Linked DNA regions of Drosophila melanogaster. The gene in region 1 interacts genetically with each later gene. Each region holds a gene or a part of one and is shown on either strand. Other genes may lie near its edges.

Region 1 (8,094 bases):
GTGCGAATTGCTCCGGCTGAAGGCGCCACTGGGGTCCACTACGCTACTGGGCGAAAGGCTCCGCGTGAGCGCCTCCGTTTGCTGGATGTTGTAGGCGATCTCCTGCTGCAGCAGCTGCCGCTTAAAGTTCTCGATCTCCAGGCGCGTCTTCGAAAGCTCCTTCATGATTTCGCTCTTCTCGTGGTGTAGCTCCTCGGCCACCTTACGCGCCTTTTCCAGTTCCTGGGTGAGGGCGTTCTTCTCGTCCAGCGCATGCATACGCTCCTTCAGGTGCACTTGCAGACGCTCGTTTGACTCCGAGAGCAGCTTATCCACCGTGGAGGAAAGCCGTAGGTTGTGCTCCTCGTTCATCTTCAGACGCTGGTTCAGTCTTACCACCTCGTTGGTCTTCTCGTCGAGGTTCGTCTCCAGTCCCCGGATGCGGTCTTCTGCAGAACCGTGTCTTTCTTGAGCCTGCAAATGGTTTCAGCCAGCGAGTTTAATGAACTTGTCCACACGGTTTAATCAGTGGCGGAGGAAAATGTTAGTTCTGGTTTTAGTAATGAAAGCTAATAGTGAGTATATTCTCTTGTATACCAACTACACTTAGGTACCCATTGCAATCCAAATACATTAAAACATAAGAAATAAATGCTGACAATGTATAATGTCGTGAATTGATATCTACCAAATATAACCACATTATATGAGATATTGGAAACCTTCGTAATTGGTATACTGAGAGAATTGTTAGGTCTGATTTTGATTTGGTTTCGGGTGCGTTAGAGTAGAAAGTTCTGGTGCAGTACAAAGATAGAAATAGTAGGTATAGTACATAGAAACTGAGTTGTTGTTGAAGTTGTTGGTGGTTTCTTGTGGCAGAAAATACGCAAAAGATAAGAACATTACACAAAACAGAGTAGAAGTTGTAAGGGATAATATTTGTTGTTGATACTTGTCATATGGAACCTGTCCGGCGCGCATATTAGTTCGAGTGCATACCTTGTTTCCTACCTTAGTCAATGCCTCCATGCGTGCCTTTAGCTGCTCTTCCATGTCGGGCTGCAGCTTGGCGTGCTGGGCGAGCTTCTGTTCGGAGAGCTCCAGCTTCTCCTCGATGGCCCCGATCTTCTCCTCGTGCAGCTGATTCGGATTCGGCATTGATCATATGGCATGGATTGGTTGTGGTTCGTATTTGGGGCGGGTGTTTGTTCGATTAGTTGTCGGGGGGAATAGTTGCGTATGTAAATGCAATTGATTAGTCACGCTTAAGGGGAGCTTAATGAAAGAGCAGGCTAGGGCACAATTAGAAACAGAGTGGATCGATTTTTTACAAAATATCACAGATGCTATACGAACTAGATTTCGCTGCTAATTTTATTTCATTACTCTAGCATACTAGCGATAATTGCTTGACTTGTAAGATCATGAAAAATTTATCTGCTATTCAATTGGAAATAACTTTACAGTAAGGTAATGAGTAATCAATGGATTTTTTTGAACAAATGGACTGTGCGCTTATCGAAATATAATAAAAAAAAATCGATCCTCATGAATAAAAGTAAAGATATGTATGCCTGCCTTAACCATAAGCTGTAATTTCCTTGGTTTTACCCACCTTGAGCTGCGCCTCTTTATGCCGTAGTTCCTGCTCGAGTTTCTCGTTGAGATCATGCAACGATGTAGACTCCCTCTGAGCATTCAGGTATCGCTTTTCCAATGTGGTAATGCGCTCCTCCTAAAAATGAACGTATAAGTAAAAAACTGAAACCATGCTGTGAGTATTATTCACTCACCTGATCCTCTTTCTGGGCAACATTCTCGCGCAGATCCCGCTGCAGCTTGGCACACTGGTCTTGGGCCTTGCAGTGTTCCTTTTGCACTCGCGACATGTTCTCCTCAAGCTCACTAATCTTGTTGTTCAAATCAGAAACGCGTCGCTGCCATTGTGAAAGTTCCGAGGTCTGACAAGGAAAGAGCGTTTTAAAAAGTGTTCACCATATGCAGACTGGAAACAGATCCGCAATCTTCACCTGCTTCTCAATAATGGTTTGCAGCTCGTGGGTTTTGGCTGCGTAGTCGTTCAGCTCATTTGCCTCGCCATTAACGCCACCAGATCCGCCCACGCCCGCCATCTAGGGTATTGGAAAATAGAAGAGATATATTAAACCGGACATGCTTGACTGCATTTCGAATGTGGAACGCACCTTCTCTTTGAGCCCGTTCTCGGCGCCCCCACCACCGGCGGTGGTTGCGGCACTCCCTGCTCCGCTGCCACTGCCCACGCCAGCTGGCACCACGCCCGCCTTGTACTGGGCCAGTTCCTCCTTGGCAGAGCTGAGTTCCTCTTCCATCATGTTGTTCTTCTCGATGGAAAGCCGCAACCGCTCGCGCACCTTCTCGTCCAGCGCCTTGTGGTGCTCGAACAGCGACTTTAGCGCCTTGAGCACTTCCACCTCGCTGGAGACGCCGCTCTGGGCGGCAGCCTGTCGCTTCACAACGGTCATACGCAGGGAACGCTCGTGGCGGGACACCAAGCACTCCAGATGTTCGAGGAGAAGCTGAAATAGTCAAGTTAGATCATTAAAAATATATTATTTCACGCAGTAACCGACGTTTAAATTGTCTCTTTAAAAGTAAAATTACCGTAGAAATTTAATTAAAACTGATTTTCTTGATATTCAATGAAGCGGAAAGGACTTATAAATACAGTTTACTTCACTTTTTATGGTTTAAGACGGATGTGAATACAAAGAACTAATTCTTAAAAGGCTGTAACAATGTTTGTATAGTCACTGATAAGTAAACAAATAGACAAGCCATGTTCGAAATAAAAATGAAGACGGACAGAGTAAACTTTTGTATTGTTCCCGGTATATGTGACTAATTCGCAAAAGCAAGTACCTACAACTGTTTCTTGTTTGAATAACAATGGGATATGTAATTTAGCAATGGCTATAATACCTAAATTAATAAATTAGTCTAGCAAATCTTGTCATGATCTACCTGATCTAACCATTACTCAATTGTCTCAGTAATTGAAATACCAAGGATCTAAATTTTCGAAAATCACTTACCCTGGTATTATTCCTCTCCGCCTTGAGCTCCCCAATCTCCTCGTCACGTTCCAAAAGGGTCTCCCGCGCTTGCGTCAGCTCCTTGGTCAGGGTGGCAAACTCCTAGAAAGATCAGGAAAAGATTTTAGGTAAACTGCGGTATCAGCATGCAGAGGCCACTTACTTGCGGCAGATTAGCGTTAATCTGTCGCTGCAGGCTGTCCCGCTCCTTCTCGACGTCACGCAGCTTGTTCTCCGTCTCGTTAAGCCGCTCCTGCGCCTCCCTCAGGCTGTCCATCAGCTTGTCCCGCTCGTCCAGCATGGAGACCATCAGCTGCTCAAAGTTGGCATCCTCCCCGCTAAACTGCGAGGAGCGCTGCGAGATGCTATCCTCGGATATCGTGGGCATTACGTCGCACATCATGTTCCACATTATTTAGTTGGGGCCGCCAGACTGTGCGAGACAGAGAGGGGAATAAAGGTTACAGGATTTTGGCTGTAGGTACATTTTGTGCGGAGATTGTACCACTATCGCTGTTACCGAAGCACAAAAACTAGACGCGTTTTTCTAAAGTTTCTTGAATTTGATCCTTGATCATAAATGAATTGGCGTGATTGAATTTTTGTCTGTGATTCCGCATATGGGAGATACTTAATGCTGTAGCTTCTTCTGCATAAAATCAAATTCTTTATGTTAATTGAATTTATAAAGTAAATTCAATTAATTCATACAAAATGTCCATTCTATGGAGTCCGGATATTTTACTACACACACACACGTTCGCTAGCCATTCCAATTGAAATACCCAGCATAGTGGGAGAAACATGTCTAATGAGACTTATCATAGGCGCCGCATTGATAACAAGTTTTCTACACCAACACATACGCACACTGTCGCAGGCGGGGGCACACGCACGGCATACACACTCACACGCGCACGCACACAGGCACAGTACTTTTTCTCTTTCGCATAACTGGCATATTTTGTGTGCCTAGGTGTGTCGCTGTCGCATTTTGCAATCACATATACCCGAAACAGGGTTAAACGAGCAGCAGGTGCGAGCTTACGCCGCTTTTAAATGCGTTCCAATGAGTTTTTCACCTGAAATTTCGGTTTAGTGGGACGGCGTTCGTGTGAAAAAAAAGAGGCTGCGAGAAAATCGCCTCGTACTCCTCGTTACGCCGGAACACGTACCCCGATCGATCGCACGGCGGCTGGGCAGCAGCAGCAACAACAACTCTGGCCGCTTTTTGCCCTTCGCATAGGTGTCCCGGCTGCTTTTAATTAAATAAACCGAATTCCAAATGGATTTTTTAACGATGAGAAACTGGTCAGTGTTACCAGATGGCAAAACGGCTAAAATCCGTAAACCAACCCTGGTTCTTCACTACAAAATGTACTACATTTCATGAATTTTTTCAGTGGTTCTATTTCGTCCAAAAAATATAGAAGTAAAATGTGTTGTTTTAAAGTTTTTGTGGCAGTCTATTTATGTTCAAAGCTAAATTATATGCAAATATTATTGCCGATCAGGAGTTGCCATTTGACCTATCGTCAAGTATTAGAAAAATGTGTACTAAAACTAATGCTGCCACACCGCACAAAGAAAACCATATCTAACAAATATTCAAACTACATGTAGGCGCACAACTAGACAGTCAAAAAAACTTATCACTTTTATCTGAAATTATTTTGTAACTTCCGTCATTTAAATGCAATGCTTCAACAGCTACACATGTTTTTGAAAAAATTACATTGTTATGGTGCCTTACAGACAAACATATTTAGTATTTATTTATCTTAATTAATTTGCAATTCGCTTTACAGCGATTAAATTATTCGATAAGAATCATTGCTCTTATACGAGCTCATGTGTTATCGATGCTTGGAAGCTAATAAATAAATCATCGATGGTGTTGAGCCAGTAAAAACATCGATAGCACCATACAAACATCGATTTTGGTTCCAGCTCTAGACATTTGTGTTTTATTTTTTTTAACCGTGAAATTCATAAGTAAAACCGACTAGCATTGGTATAAACTGCTGCGGAAGCACTCAGTCAGCGCCAAAGAACGAATACAATGGGGTAAGACCGATGGGCGCGGCCAAACCGGCCTAAACCTGCCGTTTTTACTGTGGGAAAAATCGACGCCGAACTAGCTGACATCTCCCCCCTATGATGTTGTTGTTGTTGCTGCCGTTCTGTGTGTAGCGGGCGGCGTAAATACATACATATATATGTACACAAACATACACCTACACACGCACACGCGTGGGCAGGCCAATTACATGTGTGTGGGTGTGCAGGTGTGTGTGACTGTGCAGGTGTGTGCGTGCGTGTTTTCCGCCCGAGAATCAAAAATCACAAGCAAGGCTGCGGAAAAGGCTTAGCACATAATGCAATTTAGTCGGCGGTCGACAGTCGCCAGCGATAACGGGAAGACACAAGTTATAGAGCTCAGCGAACGATGTCGGCGGATAGGTAATAGATAAGATATATATATGTATATGTGTACAAATAAAGGCACTGGAGGCTACCACGGATACGGAATTGATTTGATGGGGGCCCTGCGCCCCGCAACAAACTGTCATTGCATCAGGCCAGATCGCAAAAAACAAACATATATCGACCTACTTTATCAAATAAGGACCACGAGGATTATCCTGGGACTTAAGGACTACTAATTATAAATGCATTACACAGTGCCTGTTGACTAATAAACCACAGTAAAAGAATGCTTTGCCATAGTTTACTCACACGAGCACAGAAGCACAATTTATTGCCTGCTCTAAATGGAATTTTTAATTAATCACACGCTTGTCGCTTTAATCCCTTTATGACCCTTAGCGAACAACCGATTTTCACCTGCCAGGCGCACGTCTTCCACATCGATCCGAAGACGAAGCGCACCTGGATCACGGCCAGCATGAAGGCGGTCAACGTTAGCTTCTTCTACGACAGCTCGCGAAATCTGTACCGCATCATCAGTGTCGAGGGCACCAAGGCGGTGATAAACTCGACGATCACACCCAACATGACCTTCACCCAGACCTCCCAGAAGTTCGGCCAGTGGAGCGATGTGCGGGCAAACACGGTGTACGGCTTGGGATTTGCCTCAGAGGCGGAATTGACCAAGGTGAGTGGTTAGCATATGTCTCACATATTTATATACTAATCATATCGCTCAACAGTTCGTAGAGAAGTTCCAGGAGGTCAAGGAGGCCACCAAGAATGCCATGAAATCGGCCAACGGATCGAATGCCGTCACGCCCACCACCTCGGCGAACACGTCGCCCATTTCCGGGAGAGCTGTGGGCTCCATGCAGAACGACAACACAGCCATCGATCCGCACACTGTGGAGCCGCCCAACATGAGCAACACGAATACCCAGAACGCCAATCCGGACAGTCCTTCCCACAAGCTTCTAAATACCAGCGATGTCAAGGCGGACATCGGATCGGCCACGCCCTCGCCGCAGCCCACTTCAGGGGTAACTGGTGGCGGTGGAGTGACCATCTCGTCTGGCGGAAGCATTGTGGGCATGCACACGGGTCCTGGAGCCGGCGCCACCGCCGAGCAGCAGCTTAAGTACGAGAACGAGCGTCTGAAAATGGCACTGGCACAAAGGTAAGCAAAGCGTTGACCGTCATTGGCTCAAGGCAATAATGCCTTCTTTTCAGCTGCGCCAATGCCAAGAAATGGGAAATCGAGCTGGCTACCTTGAAGAACAACAATATACGGCTGACTAGTGCTCTTCAGGTAAGCAATAAGATAAGCTCACATTTATTGAAACTGATCGTTTTTGGCCTTTTTCTCCCAAAGGAATCAACTGCCAATGTAGACGAATGGAAGCGCCAGCTGCACACTTACAAGGAGGAGAATATTCGCCTCAAACGAGATATGGAGCAGCTGTGCGTGGGCGGCGGGGTTGTGGCTGCAGCCGGAGGAGGCGCCACAGAGGACGAACTGCGTCGTGAGGTGGCCACGCTCAAGGCGCGGACAGAACAACTACAGAAGGAACTTATGCAACAGGAACTTGAGCTTAAGTCGGCCAATATTAGCCTACGTGAAAAGTCCAATGACCAAACGGTGGGTAAAGCATAATAATCATGTTGAGTAATTTGCTAATGAAACTTTGTTTTTAGCTTGCAAAGTTGAGTGAGGTGAATGGTGTGTTTGCCAAGCATCTTTCGGAGTTGTATGGGGTGCAGAAGGATATGGAGAGTCTTATACAAATTGCCAAGTGCACTTGAGACACAGAGTTGGCGTTTATGCGAAAGGTTTGCGGCACATTGCCTTTTGAGTTTCGTCTTGTTGATTGGCGTTCTTTACAGGTTTCAGTGCAGGAACAGACTACAATGATTAATACTACAACGACATCATCGACAACAACAGGAAGCACGACAAGTAAACGTTATTTAAGCAACTTTCCAACCGCAGAGGCCGAGAGCACGCTCTCCAACGTCACCTCGATACACACTCAGCTGCAGTCGTCGCTTTACGAGACTCAGAACATGCCGCAGCTGAAGGCCTTGGACAAGCATTCGGCTTTGCTCCAAGAGCTTCATCAGCGGCAGGCGGCACCCAGGCGCAACTCAGCCTCTGCGGAAGCTGCTGCAGCCGGCTCTGGTGGAGCCAAAACAGCCACCATACTCGTTTCCAAATCAAAAACCAAAACTGGGCTGCCCCTGTTGCTGAAGAATTCCATTAACAATTAGAGAAATCCCAAAAAGAAAAACAAATATCGCAGGTAGAGAGAATTTATTCAGTGGCATTTTTGTAATCTTTATATTGGTAGTTTGTATACAAGGACAACGTTAAGAGTCAGCCATGGTACTTCCCCAATCCCCACGCACCCCCTCTTTTTGTTAACATTATTGGATATTTGTGTTTCCTTATCTCAAATTGAATGTATACCTATGCCCAGTATTTCGTCAAAATTCTTCGAGTCCTTGTGACACTGATGTAGGTCCAGATTGATTGATTCTCGTGCGCAGTAAAGTGCAATATACATTTATCTCTAGTATGTAAATGTAAACGATGATATTATGTGCT
Region 2 (6,459 bases), on another chromosome or scaffold:
AACCCTGCAGCCAGACCCCCTGAATCCGCTGGCCACCATGATGTCTTTCAAGCTAATGGCTATGGACGTAGTAACTCAAATGCAGACCGCCCTGCACAAGTGCGTCAACGCCCAGAGTCCGCCGGGCGCCAAGATGGCGGGAATCGAGTTGGACGCCTTGCGGCGTTGCGTACCGTCCTCGTGCTACTTCTTTATTGACCTGCATCCGCACCACGGCTTTAAGGATACCGCGGAGGATTGCCCTACTAGTCAAGCCTCCAGTGACCGGAATAACAACGCTGGCTGTTCGCAAGGATCGGCTGCCAAGAGCTCCTGGCAGCGGCAGCGTAGTATTTCCGAGTGCAGTGAGGACAGCTTCATTTGCTTTGAGGACGACGCAGAGCAGGCGGATGAGGATGTCGAGGAAGACGAGGATGATGATGACGACGACAGCAGCGTGCAGTTTACAGCATGCGGTGAGGATGAAAATACCGAGGAGCTAAAGGCCTGCCAGTGCAGCGACGACAGCTCGACTCCTGTCAAGAAGGTGAAGAATATTTTTGCGCGGCATAAGTGGGCATATCTAATTTCCTATTTATGCGCACAGGTTCGTTTCAACATGAAACCCGAAGTTCACGTAATGCTCGCCTGGGACTACGCTTATCGGGCTGCCAGAAAGAGCGAATGGCAGGTAATGGCGCGAGATCGGGATCGCTTTCAGCAGCGGATTCGGCGGATTTCACCCATTCTCAATGCCGTCCTGACTCCAGTTCACCGAGATCGTGTCTACCAAGCTCGATTCTTGCACGAGGACTAGCTGGTCCGCATACCTGAAGTAACTTTTGATGTACAGATTACAGTTTAGAACGATTACAGCATTAAATTCCAAGTTGTTTGCGTGTATAAAGTGATCGATTTAGCCACTGCGTTCGTGATTGATTTTATGAAGCCAAAAACTGTTTAACCTGTAAAGTATATCAAAACCACGTACACTTTTCTTCGCCTTTAGTTTTAGAGCCCTAAGAAGTTTGAATTTGTTGATAACGGGATTAGCATATACCTTAATATAACTTGAAATAAATTAAGCAATAGACGTATTTTACTGTGTGTTCTTCTTTTCACATAAGATTGCTTGCATTGTGTTCCAAATTCCCAAGCCAAACAAGTTTGGGTAAAGACTTTGTGTGTACGTGGGTGAGAGATAAGCTCTGAATAGAAACAGATAAGACGGCAGTTTGAAAAAATAGGTACGTTTAACATGGAGCAGTAAATTTCATAAATGTTATCGCGTTAATTCATTATTTATTTCATGATTCCTTCAGTCGTTTGCAACTTGGTTTTGGATCTCCGAAACTTATTTGGCCAATTGGTAAACTCCACCCGAGAATATTAGCTTGTGCTCCCTGACTTTTCGCTGGAGAAAGTGTTTCAGCTCATCCTGAGTAAACTCCACTCCGCCGCTGTGGGAGGCGAACAGCTTCAGCATCTGGTGGATTCGGTCAATTGGCATGGAGTCAAGATTCGTGAGCATTCCAACAATATAGGACCAAAAAACCTGCGGCATAATTGTATAAGAAAAAGCCGGAATTAGGAACAGTTGAAGGCACTTACTTGGAGTTCTTCTTCCCTTTGATCGCTGGCAGAAGCCATTGCGGATTCCAAATCCTCTTCGTCAGCTTCTGCCAGACTCATGTCCTCGTACTGAGACTTCTCCGATTCCTTTTCCAGCAGCGTGAATATTCCGGGTGTCGTTTCCGAGATCAATCCGTGGTTTTGCCAAAAACTCAGACGACGCCGCAGTGCAGACGCTGGAACTTTCGTAATGGAACTAAGATCCTCGATAGTCCATTCATCTGAAAAAAAAATATGACCATGCGGTTGTAAAACTGTAAAACTTGACTGCCCTGTAAACACGTACTCTTAGTTTGAAAGTGGTATATAATAACCGCCAAAATGGGGCTCACAACCATTTCCATGGTCCGGTCACCGATCTCGATTTCAATATTTACACGGCCAGTCACTGTACGCCAGTTGAGCGTACGGTTGCCCTTGTATGCCTCGTAGGCCTTGGTGTACTTCTTGAACTCATTCTCAATCTCCTCAGGAAGTTGGAGGCTTTCTTTATTGAAGGACGGCCAAAACTGAGCAGAAACAATCAGCGAGGAGATGTCGAACAACTGATCTAAAATGAGATGGTTTCGTTAAAGCATTTTGAAAATTAAAAGTAACTCACTTTCAGTTCGGTCGCCATCGCTGTGGATGTGCGCGTTAATTCGCTTGGAGTCGGTTACGTCTTTCAACATCACCTCGCAGCTGTGCAGCAGCGATTCGCCAAAGCGGATTTTCAGCAGTTCCAGATTTCGAATTTCTTTTTCGGAATTAAAATCTAACTGGGCCAGCAGTCTGTCCGCCATTAGATTGCGATACTCTGTCATAAACAACTCCTTACTGCCGTATATGTCTACAACCATCGATATAATGTCGGCCGATCTCATCTTCCGCGAGCTGTTGTACTGCATAATGCTGGCATCTATACCAAACGGATCGGGTTGCCAATTTTCCCAGTTGCTGAACTCATCGGTACCCGAGTCCTTGCATTCCTTAATTGTTTCTCCCTTGGCGAGTTCCTCGGATAAGTCCGTGGGCCCCTCTTCAGTCAACCCAGTGACTACGCGTCGCACTGTGTCGTTTCGTTTCCGCAGGTAATCTTTGATTGGAGCAGTTACCATCTCTAAGATGACTCCGGTACTATCCAGATGGCGAATAGCTTTGATGGCTGCCACGTAACCCGTTAATATGTCCATGGTGTTGACTCCAGGATGCAGAATCCTTGCCTCTAGCGAGTTCCTAAGGGATTCAGTGAGGTAGACTCGCATATCTATTTTCTCCATGCAAATCTTTAAGTCATCTATAGCCGGAATGGAATCGGGATAGTCTGTTTACAAATAAATACATGTAGTTGGGGGACTCTTGGCTGAATCTACGGGCACATACCAATTATAATGCTGAAGAACTGACCAATAACGCTTTGGGCAAACGTTTCGTACATAAAGTAAGTCAGTTTGACTTTGAAGGATTTTACAGACTCGGGAACTTCGATATCGCTTATGCTATCCTTAGACTTCCATTCCGTGAATATGTTTGTGAGCCAGGACATTATGACATCCGATAGCCACTGCAAAGGTAGGTAATAAATGAGTTACTTAAGTAGTTTATTTATGACAACAGAAGGTATTCCCATTCAACTTACAGTTTCCAGTTGCTTAAGATGACTTCTGTCGAAGATTCCCATGCATGTATCGCTGATGTGCTCCTTGATTTTAAGCTTGATGAGAGCGGTTAAAGCACTCCCAGTTAGACGGTCAATGAGGTTCATCTCGAAGAGCTTCATGTTTGTCTTGTTAACCATATCCGTCAGCCTTTGGCAGCAGCATTGCTCTGCTTCGAAGTTGCAGCCAACGCAGAGGAGCTCATCGAAAACATCAGAGTCTGAAGGGGAAAGCAAGTGAGCATGGGAACCACAGGAGTATGTATCGGATACATACCAACTGTGGTCAATGCGAGATTTGAGGCCTTGGTGAAGAGCTTAAAGTGCACCCAGTAGAAGGCCCCAACGACCACACTGAAATTGGGTGGCAGTTGAGCCAGCAAGCAGTCCCTTAAGCAGTTCTTAATGCCTTCCTCCTGCATGAGCTTCACCGTCTTTGCGGTGGGCTTTGTCTCAGCTCCAACTAGCTGGATCAGCCTGGGCTTCACCTGCATCAGGCTCTGAAAGCTGTCATGCAGCTCATTGATGGCGTCGATGAACTGGGTGAACAGTCCGTTCTTATCGGGCAGTGCTTCTATGGCCAGAGCTTGGTCGTTAATCCAGCCCTGCAATTTAGACGAGACCAAGCCGTCGTGGATGTGCTTCCAGAACTTGGGCACCAGGACATTCCGAATAGTCGACTGGATTTCCAGGTCCACAACCGCCGCGAAGGTGTCTATGCTGCCCAACACCATCAGGTGCTGGCGAACATTTTGGAATACATTCTCCTCAACCGGATCATTGGATACAGCGTTCTGTAAGAGTTTCTGAGTGCTAGCGCCAATCCCTATTACTGAACCGAAGGAATAAACCTACCGCTCCACCCAAAACCGGAAAGATTCTCAGTACATCCGCCCACAAAGCGTCAAAGTCGCACATCGCTTGTGTGTAATTATTTTAAACAGTGCAAAACATTGCTTGAAACTCTGAATCAAACGCCAATGGTGATGATAATGCTGTTATCGATAAGTCGATTCTATCAACCGAACCGATAGTCGATGAATCTTTGATTTATCAGAAATTATACATATATCTATTATTCATTCTTATAGGCCATTATTAATCATATTCCAAATTTCAAACTGGATCGAGTCCTGATCCTGATGAACTATCAGTTCCCCATCAATTAGCCCATAAATATAAATAACAGTTTTACTAAAATAAATTATATTAATAGATACGGGGAGCTTAGTAGCCAGAAAATAAGAAACAGCAAGAGTTTCAGAAATACAGATGTATGTCTTCACGTTCCGGCAAACACAAACAGTTAGAGCTAAAATTAAATTGCATACGACTTATTTACATACATACATACAAATTGAGATTTGAGAGCCGGCGCTGATCTTGCATAGGAATATAGTTAGATTGCGAATTTATTTAATTTTATTGTACTGTGTGCGTCACCCGACACACGCCCGTGTGGTAGCCAATATCGATTGGATGCGGATGCCAATGGCTAGCGACTTAAGGAGTAAGGAGTAACTATGAAACTATCGTATCTTCAAATGCGTCTGCTGATGCTTTTTCAAGTGGTCGCTCCGCACAAACCGGCGACAGCACTGCTGACAGGCGTAGGGCTTCTCCCCGGTGTGCGTTCGTATGTGTCGGTTGAGGTCGTCCTGCCGCTTGAACCGCTTCTCACACTGCCGGCAGTAGAAAGGCCGATCCTGAACGAACTGGGGCATCCCATACGTGCCGGGTCCGTCCGCCGGCGGTAGCTGAGAGAGGGTATTTACAATTTCTTCGGTCGGTTCGTATTTTACCTCGGGCTTCGCCTGGTTAAGGAAATCGGGCAACTGGCTCTGGTTGTGGCCATGGTTATCCATCTGGTGTTCAGGAGATACGATCTGGTACTTGTCGCTGTGCTCCGGCCGTTCCAGCTTAATCTTTATCGGCTTGTGGTGGATGTCGATAATGCTCACGGGCTGCTGGTGCTGGTTATGCTGCTGCTGCTGGTGGTGGTGCTTCATGCTCGGCTCCCCGCAACCAACCATGGCGGCCATGAAGTGGAAGCCCGAGTCCGACTCCGAATGAATCTGCTTCTTCGGGGGCTTGAGCCGGACTCCACCACTGCTGCTCGGTACTGTTCGCTTCGGGGTGCTGCCCTTTAGCTGGCGGTCGTGGGTAGCTAGGTGCTTGGTGAGGTGGTCGCTGCGGGAAAACTTCTTGGTGCACTGGATGCACTCGAAGGGCTTCTCGCCGGTGTGCGTCCGGAGGTGCCGGTTGAGCTCATCGGAGCGCGTGAATCCCTTGCCGCACTTGGGCTCGCTGCAGACGAAGGGCTTGATGCCCGTGTGCCAGGTGAGGTGGGACCGCAGGTGGGAGCTCTTGCCGTAGCTCTTTGTACAGTTGTCATACGGGCAGACGAACTTGCGCTTGGGATCGGAGGCGAGCGTCGTGGCCATTAGCTTCACACTGGGCATTATGCGGATCTTAGAGTTGCCGTTCCCGCCGTAGTGCGAGTCGTCCTCAGGCTCAGTCTCAACTCCGTGATGGGGCACATTCTCCACATTCGCCTCGTCGTGCTTGACGTCCTCGAAAATCGTCGAGGCCCGCAGTATCATATCGGACGCCTGCTCGTGTATGTTTGCGCCGCTCATCGTGGGAAACGCTGGTGGTGGTTTCATGGGTTCTATGGGCGTTGATGTCGTCAGCATTTGGGGTGTGGGCGTGTTTGGTATTACTTGTGACATTGTGCTTACGTTTGGGGCTCGCTAGCGCCCTATCCGGTATGTCTGGAATCGAGAGTGGAGGTACTTTACTGCCAGCTGCGCGCCTACCGCTCCCTAATTACCAAAATTGCGTTTATCCAAAACTACACTCCTGTACAGGAAACTGTGTTCAGTGGGCGTCGGCCTAGGATTTATCAGTTCTGTGGTCCCTTGTCACCATAGCCAGCTCGGAAAACGGTCTATAGTCGGTCCTGGCGTCCCGCACACATTTTCCAATTGTTTTCGGCTAGCGCGCTTGCATATTCCAGCGGATTTGCTTATTTTACTTTATTTTATTTATATACTGAAGTATATCCATTTAATTGCGATGAGAATTATCGACTAGTCGATAGGACCAAGAGATGCGACTGAATGCGTGTACGGAGATATCGGATTTCAATGTTGTATTTATTGATTGCTATTAGTTTAGCACAGTTAAATATCTAAAACTAAATGTGTAGT
Region 3 (5,725 bases), on another chromosome or scaffold:
CCCAGGGTGCCAGACTCTGTCAAATGCCTGTTGAATATCAAGAAAGGCACCTACTGCATACTCCTTGTTTTCCATAGCTTCCAGAGCAAAGTTCACTACTCTATGTAGTTGCTCAGGAGTACCGTGCTGCAACCGGAAGCCAAACTGAAATTTGGGAATCGCTTTGGTAACATCCTTGCATGTGAGCAGCCTGTTTAGGATCAGCCTCTCCATAATTTTACCCAGAGATGGGAGTAAGCTGATGGGCCTGTACGAGTCAACGTCTGTCGGTGTTTTTCCAGTCTTATGGATCATAATTATGCTCGCCGATTTCCAAGCTTTCGGAAAGTAGCCAACATCAAGAACGCTGTTGAATATTAAGACAAGGAACTGCAATGCTTGATCTGGGAGAAGTCTAATGGTTCTATTATCAAGAAGATCTTCTCCAGGAGCTTTCTTAAGTGGCAGCTTGGCTATTAAATTCTTCACTTCTTCCAGTGTGACAGCACTCGGAGGCAGGCTCATTTGAAAGGGCGATTCCAAGTATCCATGTGTGTGCGTCTGTGGCTTTCGTTCTTAAAATGGGAGGTAAAATATTTGAAATTTATTGCCGTTGCCTTTGATTCAATGCACACATTTATTAATTTATCATTCCATGAGCCGGAGCTCAGGCTCTAAATAAATCAAAGGCTTGAGATGGAAAAGATTTAAATGAATTGGCCGAACAAATGGCCAATAAGTTTTGGCATATCGATTGAATGTCGGCCTACAGAATGCATGCAAATTAATGCAGTATTTTGTGCTGAGCAAAACCATTCGAACCGACTTGATTGCACAAACCACAGACCAACGAGCACACCCCAAAGTGCCATAATGTCAATGCCCGCCCTAGGGCGCCACAACTCGGTGACAATTGACATTGGCAGTGACAGTGACTGTGACAGTGGCGAACGGAGAAATTCAATGAAAATTAATAAGTTGAATTAACAGATTCACGCCGCGAGCAGCCATCGAAATCCAATCCGCCGCACACGCCAAGTGGGAATTTAATGGCTCAGTGCCCTCAATGCCAAATGAGTGAGTGACTGGTCATCCTGTCCGTCCTGACATCCATCATTAAGGTCCTGCCCATCTCAACTCGACTCGCTGAGCTGGCTCAGCTGGCTGAGCCTGGATGCCGTCTGCTAGCCAGCATTCAATTCGATTACCTGCAAGCGAACACTTTATTTCCGAAAGGCTAACTTCATTGACCGTACATATCCTGCTGTGTGACTCATAACATGATGACTAAACCCAGCCATTCACTTGAGGGGAATGTCAGAGAGCGAAATTGCATTGACCTCCTTTAAAAACCCTTCAAACGCAATTTTAGTTGAATTAAAAATGAACGTATAAAGTTACTTAAATAGGTGTCTAAACGTATGCAGTTTAAATAGAATGCTGAGTATTTCCATTCACATATTTGTGAACTTTCGACTCGAAAGTTAGAATTTTTTCCAATATTTTTCCCTTTTCGGGCTAGAAAGTTTTCACTGCGCTGACCGTTTTACACTTGCTTTTAGCCCTAATTTCCTGTATGACTCGATGGTTTCGCCCCCCTTTCTCAGCCAGAAAACTTCAATGGAGCGAGAATGGAATGTGTGGGAGCTGCACAAATTACAATTTGAGCCAGGGCTCCTTCTCGGGGAGAAGGGGAGCCACATAAACCAATCTCCGCCCCTGTTCTTTGCCAAGCGATTTCGCTGCAATCTACATCGCCAGTAGAATGCTGCTCCTCCTTCGGCCGCAAAACTGACAGCAATCAGCTTTGCTGTGGATAAAGTTTTATGCCGAGAAACTCATTTAGTTTGCAATTAATTAGTGGCAGCCGGCAGAGCAGAGTTGAATTTGTGTTTTTAATTTGACTAAATAGATGCACCACTACCGAACGTTGGAGAGCTTGCACAACACGGCGAATGGTGGTGGGGCGTGGTGAGTGGGGCGTGCAGGATGGGGGCGTGACGAAGTAGCATAGTTCTGACTGAGTTTTTCGCTAGGCGTGAAATGTAAATGCTTGACCCAATTGGCAGGGGGCGTCTAAAGGGAAACACAACGAAAAACAACCAACCGCCGACAACAAAATCATTTAAAATGTTTTCCAACCGGGGAAACGGCGAGCGCTAAAACTTTTTCTACGGCGCTTTTGGCGAAGACAACTTGAACACAATTTGATAACCTACATTTGGGGGTCTTGGTAACATTAAAAATTTACACATGACGGCGTGGCCGGGGCGTTGGGGGTTTTGGCCTTACTCGCAGTGCAAAAGTGGAACGGAGTGTTTTCTCAGCGTCCTTGAGCTCTTGTTTTTTATTTGGTATTAAGAGCATGTCAAGTGAGTCTGGCGAACACAGAGGCTGAGGCAGCATGGCTAAGTGAGTTTTCGTTGTTGCTCCTTGTCACAGGAAACGGATGTGTGTGTGTGTGTGTGTGTGTGTGTGCGTGGTTTGGCTTGAAGCGAGAGGGGAAATTGTGGCGGGGGAGGGGGCTGGAGTAGACCGTCCCCGGAGGTGGGTAGCAAAAGTCTTTAAGTCTTTCGGCTTAATAGCTTTCAGTTTGCGACTTTCCTGGTCACAGCCCGACCCGATTCTGGTTGCTTACCCCTTCTATTGTCCCAAATCCCCATCATCATTTCAACCCCCTTCCTGGGTGCCGTGAGTTATTGTCGTGCGATTTATTACGCGACGCACTGTTGGTAGCCTTTGCTGCCTTCGGAGGGGGCCCACATGGCGTATGCGTAACGTATGGTCGTGGTAAAAACTCACGTAATATGCAACATTTACCGCCCGCGGTTCTCCGCCGGTTCCTTTTGATTTATTCAGCCAGGTGGCATACTTTTGACCCATATGGCTTTGATTTCTTGAAAAACTCAAAACCACCAAACATACCACTACCAAGTTAAAGTTATTACTAAAAGTGCAGTCACAGCTCCTTTGATATATGTCAGAAGTAAGCCTATTTCGTTTACGAAATGGTTTCTGCATTTTCTCTCTGTGCAGGTAAATATGATTTTCGTGTCTGGCAGCAATTACTGATGTTGTCATTAGTAAGAACACCACTCGGAAATTAATAAAGATTTGCACAGGCGCAAATCGGTTTAAAAATGCGTGCAAACACTTTGATTATTCATTCACAAAACCCAAGCGGCCCGAAATTCCCAAATGAGATAGTGCGTAATTCGCGACTGACACAGATTTTTCCCTATTTGGCTGTTCGCTGGTTTTCCTTTATATTTGCGCACAGAAACAACAACAAACAGAGTGACACACAAGTTCCAAAAAATTTCCCTACTCCACGCACACTCGCACAAATATTGACCGAATTTTACTGGCGGTGGTTTTTCCCCCCCAAAAATTCGATTGTTCTCCGCAGTGTTTTTCTTGTTTTCGGCGATGCTGTGTCTGTCTGTTTGTTTTCGAAAAATTTACCTCGGATTCTGACTGAAAAAACAAGAAGGCCACATACCACGTGGCCAACAGTTGAAGTCAATGTTGGTTCTTTTATTTTCGTTTTTTTTTTATTTGGTTTTTCTGGCTTTCTAATTTGTTAGACACGCTTTGGTTGAAAGTTTTTTCGGCTATGCTCTTGTTGATTTTGATTGAAACACACACGCACACCAGCACACACTCTCCGCGAAGAGAGCAGGACAGAAAGAGAGAACGAGAGCGAGACCGAAGGATATGTGGGGAATAATTCAATTCTGGCGCTTGGAACGTCTCACTGGGCGAATCACTCGAATGGCACTGAGCTCGAGTCCTTGGCATTTGGCCCGAGTGCCGTTTTGGCGGCGTCCATGTGACGTCACGAAAGCTTAGGCACAGCGAGATGGGAAAAAGGATACAAGAGCGCCCATGCGCATTGGCGAAAGCTCGCAATCGCTGGAGAAATAGCCACCAGGGATCTCTCGAAAACCCGACCTAGCCTTGCCTTGGACAAGTGTTTGTTTACGTTTTCCATCCGAACGTCCCGCAAGAATCCTTTCGAATCCTTGTTGCTCCTCCGCTCCCAAAAACGAAGGTCAAGCTCTGGCTCTGAATCGCAACGACACCACCTCCGTTTTCAATTAATCAGCAATATAAATTGTACTTTGTTTGGACGCCACAATACATTTTCCCCGCAATTTAACTTGGACGAAACAATTTACAGACTGTGTGGTTGGGCCACACAGCCCGATTTTACTCTAATGAAATATCTCAAGACCAAAAATGTCAGTGGTTGCAACTGTTTGCGACAGGCGGGGAGTTACTATTTCAAAATATGAAAAGCCTCAAAACAATAAATGAGGATGAAGTGGGTAAATGTGGGGATGTTGCGCACTTTGAGGTTGCCAACGACAACTGCAGTCTGCATGCTTTCCTACTAATTGTAAAACAATCTGACTGTACACTATCATTTGCGGCAAAAATTGACAAAGGAATCGAAAGTATGTGAGTATTGCACTCAAAGCTGAACATGTATAATATGATCCCGACAGCAAATGCTCAAATTATTGTGAAAAGATTTAATGAACACGTGCAAAATATTTCAGCCAAAGAAATCGCATCGCCTCATCTATGAAAATTGATATTATTGTTCTCTCAATGTGATTGTAACGAAAATGGCATTTTCATTTAAAGTCTAAATGGTTTAATTGAGTTTGAAAGGGCTTAACAATTCTGACAGCTGTGATAAAAGTGGCTTTCTGATTCAGCTTTGCAGTTACATTTAACTGGAAACATTGATTCATAACTGAGTTTCATATTAAAGTGTTATTTTTTTGCCTCTTCTGCAATCCTTTCAATTACTACCTTTCGATTGGCTTGATAAACAAACCTATTTTCCCGCATCGCAACTATGCAATTCAAAGCGGAATCGATTGCCATATCAACGCGTAAGGGTGGAGTAATCCGAATGAGAGCCATTGCAGTGCATTATCCTGAGCTCACAGGACTTGAACCGGATAAATCCCTTTACCGCTCCGTGCCAGAGAGTGTAGTGTCATTCATAAGCACAAGTGGCAGACGTGACTAGCCGCAGCCACGTAGAGGGCTTTGCACCTGACTGAATCGGTCCGATATATCCTATATACATCCTCCTGCCATACCCCTCCCACCCTTCGAACCCTTCGCATCCGCAAACTCATGGACACGGCCACTGTTTGTCTTTATTTTGACTGACAATCATTGTGGTTGCCATCTGTCTGCCTGCGGAAATGTGAAGTGCAGCCATGAGATAACCGCCATCATCTGATGCTAATAAAATGTTATCAAATGAATGTCAAGCGGCTGCTGAGCCCATCCTGCTGCCTTTTTTGTGGCTCTCCTGGCAGACGCCGCCATCGGTGCCAGGATATGTGTATCTGATATCCCGAACAATGGCGGCAGAACAAACGCACACACGGAGGCGCATCGATTACGGTGCTAGTTCATTCAACTCGGCTCCTCCATCGGAAAAGGCCTAGGATATATGGCAAAACTCCGACTCCCTCGACAAAGTCAAGACAGAAGACTTCCCGCCGAGAAGAGGCGGCGGGAGCAGCACTATCTGCCACAGGTGACGCGTGAAAAATTCCACAAGCCATGGAAGCCGAAGGAAACGTCTCTGCCATGCAATTCTTCCCTTTTGTCGTAACTCAACTGCCATTGACAGCCAAGTGTCCCACTGACAGTCGCCGCCCCCAGCAACCCTCCATTTACCCGCTTTTCCATTTCCCCTTGCCCACTTTTCCAA

Evidence for each region. Genes that interact genetically often act in the same process or in processes that back each other up.
Region 2: of Liprin-alpha (region 1) and mr, changing one suppresses a phenotype caused by changing the other (phenotypic suppression), as found in Drosophila melanogaster (one study listed by BioGRID).
Region 3: of Liprin-alpha (region 1) and Liprin-gamma, changing one suppresses a phenotype caused by changing the other (phenotypic suppression), as found in Drosophila melanogaster (one study listed by BioGRID).

What each region holds. Positions count from the first base shown.
Region 1 is NT_033779.5:6,720,222-6,728,315, reverse strand, and holds the start of Liprin-alpha (Liprin-alpha), read right to left. Parts: upstream 4,414-8,094; 5' UTR 4,232-4,413; exon of another isoform or gene 4,139-4,231; 5' UTR 3,923-4,138; intron 3,490-3,922; 5' UTR 3,469-3,489; coding exon 3,220-3,468; intron 3,159-3,219; coding exon 3,057-3,158; intron 2,541-3,056; coding exon 2,187-2,540; intron 2,115-2,186; coding exon 2,013-2,114; intron 1,944-2,012; coding exon 1,776-1,943; intron 1,718-1,775; coding exon 1,598-1,717; intron 1,123-1,597; coding exon 982-1,122; intron 454-981; coding exon 1-453. Other genes in the region: homer, read left to right, coding at 5,506-5,519, 5,886-6,174, 6,230-6,666, 6,720-6,798, 6,862-7,128, 7,185-7,292.
Region 2 is NT_033778.4:23,970,215-23,976,673, reverse strand, and holds mr (morula), read right to left. Parts: upstream 4,244-6,459; 5' UTR 4,166-4,243; coding exon 4,103-4,165; intron 4,042-4,102; coding exon 3,525-4,041; intron 3,469-3,524; coding exon 3,230-3,468; intron 3,155-3,229; coding exon 2,974-3,154; intron 2,915-2,973; coding exon 2,213-2,914; intron 2,162-2,212; coding exon 1,898-2,161; intron 1,833-1,897; coding exon 1,591-1,832; intron 1,535-1,590; coding exon 1,334-1,534; 3' UTR 1,266-1,333; downstream 1-1,265. Other genes in the region: PPP1R15 (protein phosphatase 1 regulatory subunit 15), read left to right, coding at 1-526, 587-796; CG3065 (uncharacterized protein), read right to left, coding at 4,777-5,979.
Region 3 is NT_033778.4:22,350,944-22,356,668, forward strand, and holds the start of Liprin-gamma (Liprin-gamma), read right to left. Parts: upstream 3,766-5,725; 5' UTR 3,445-3,765; intron 1-3,444.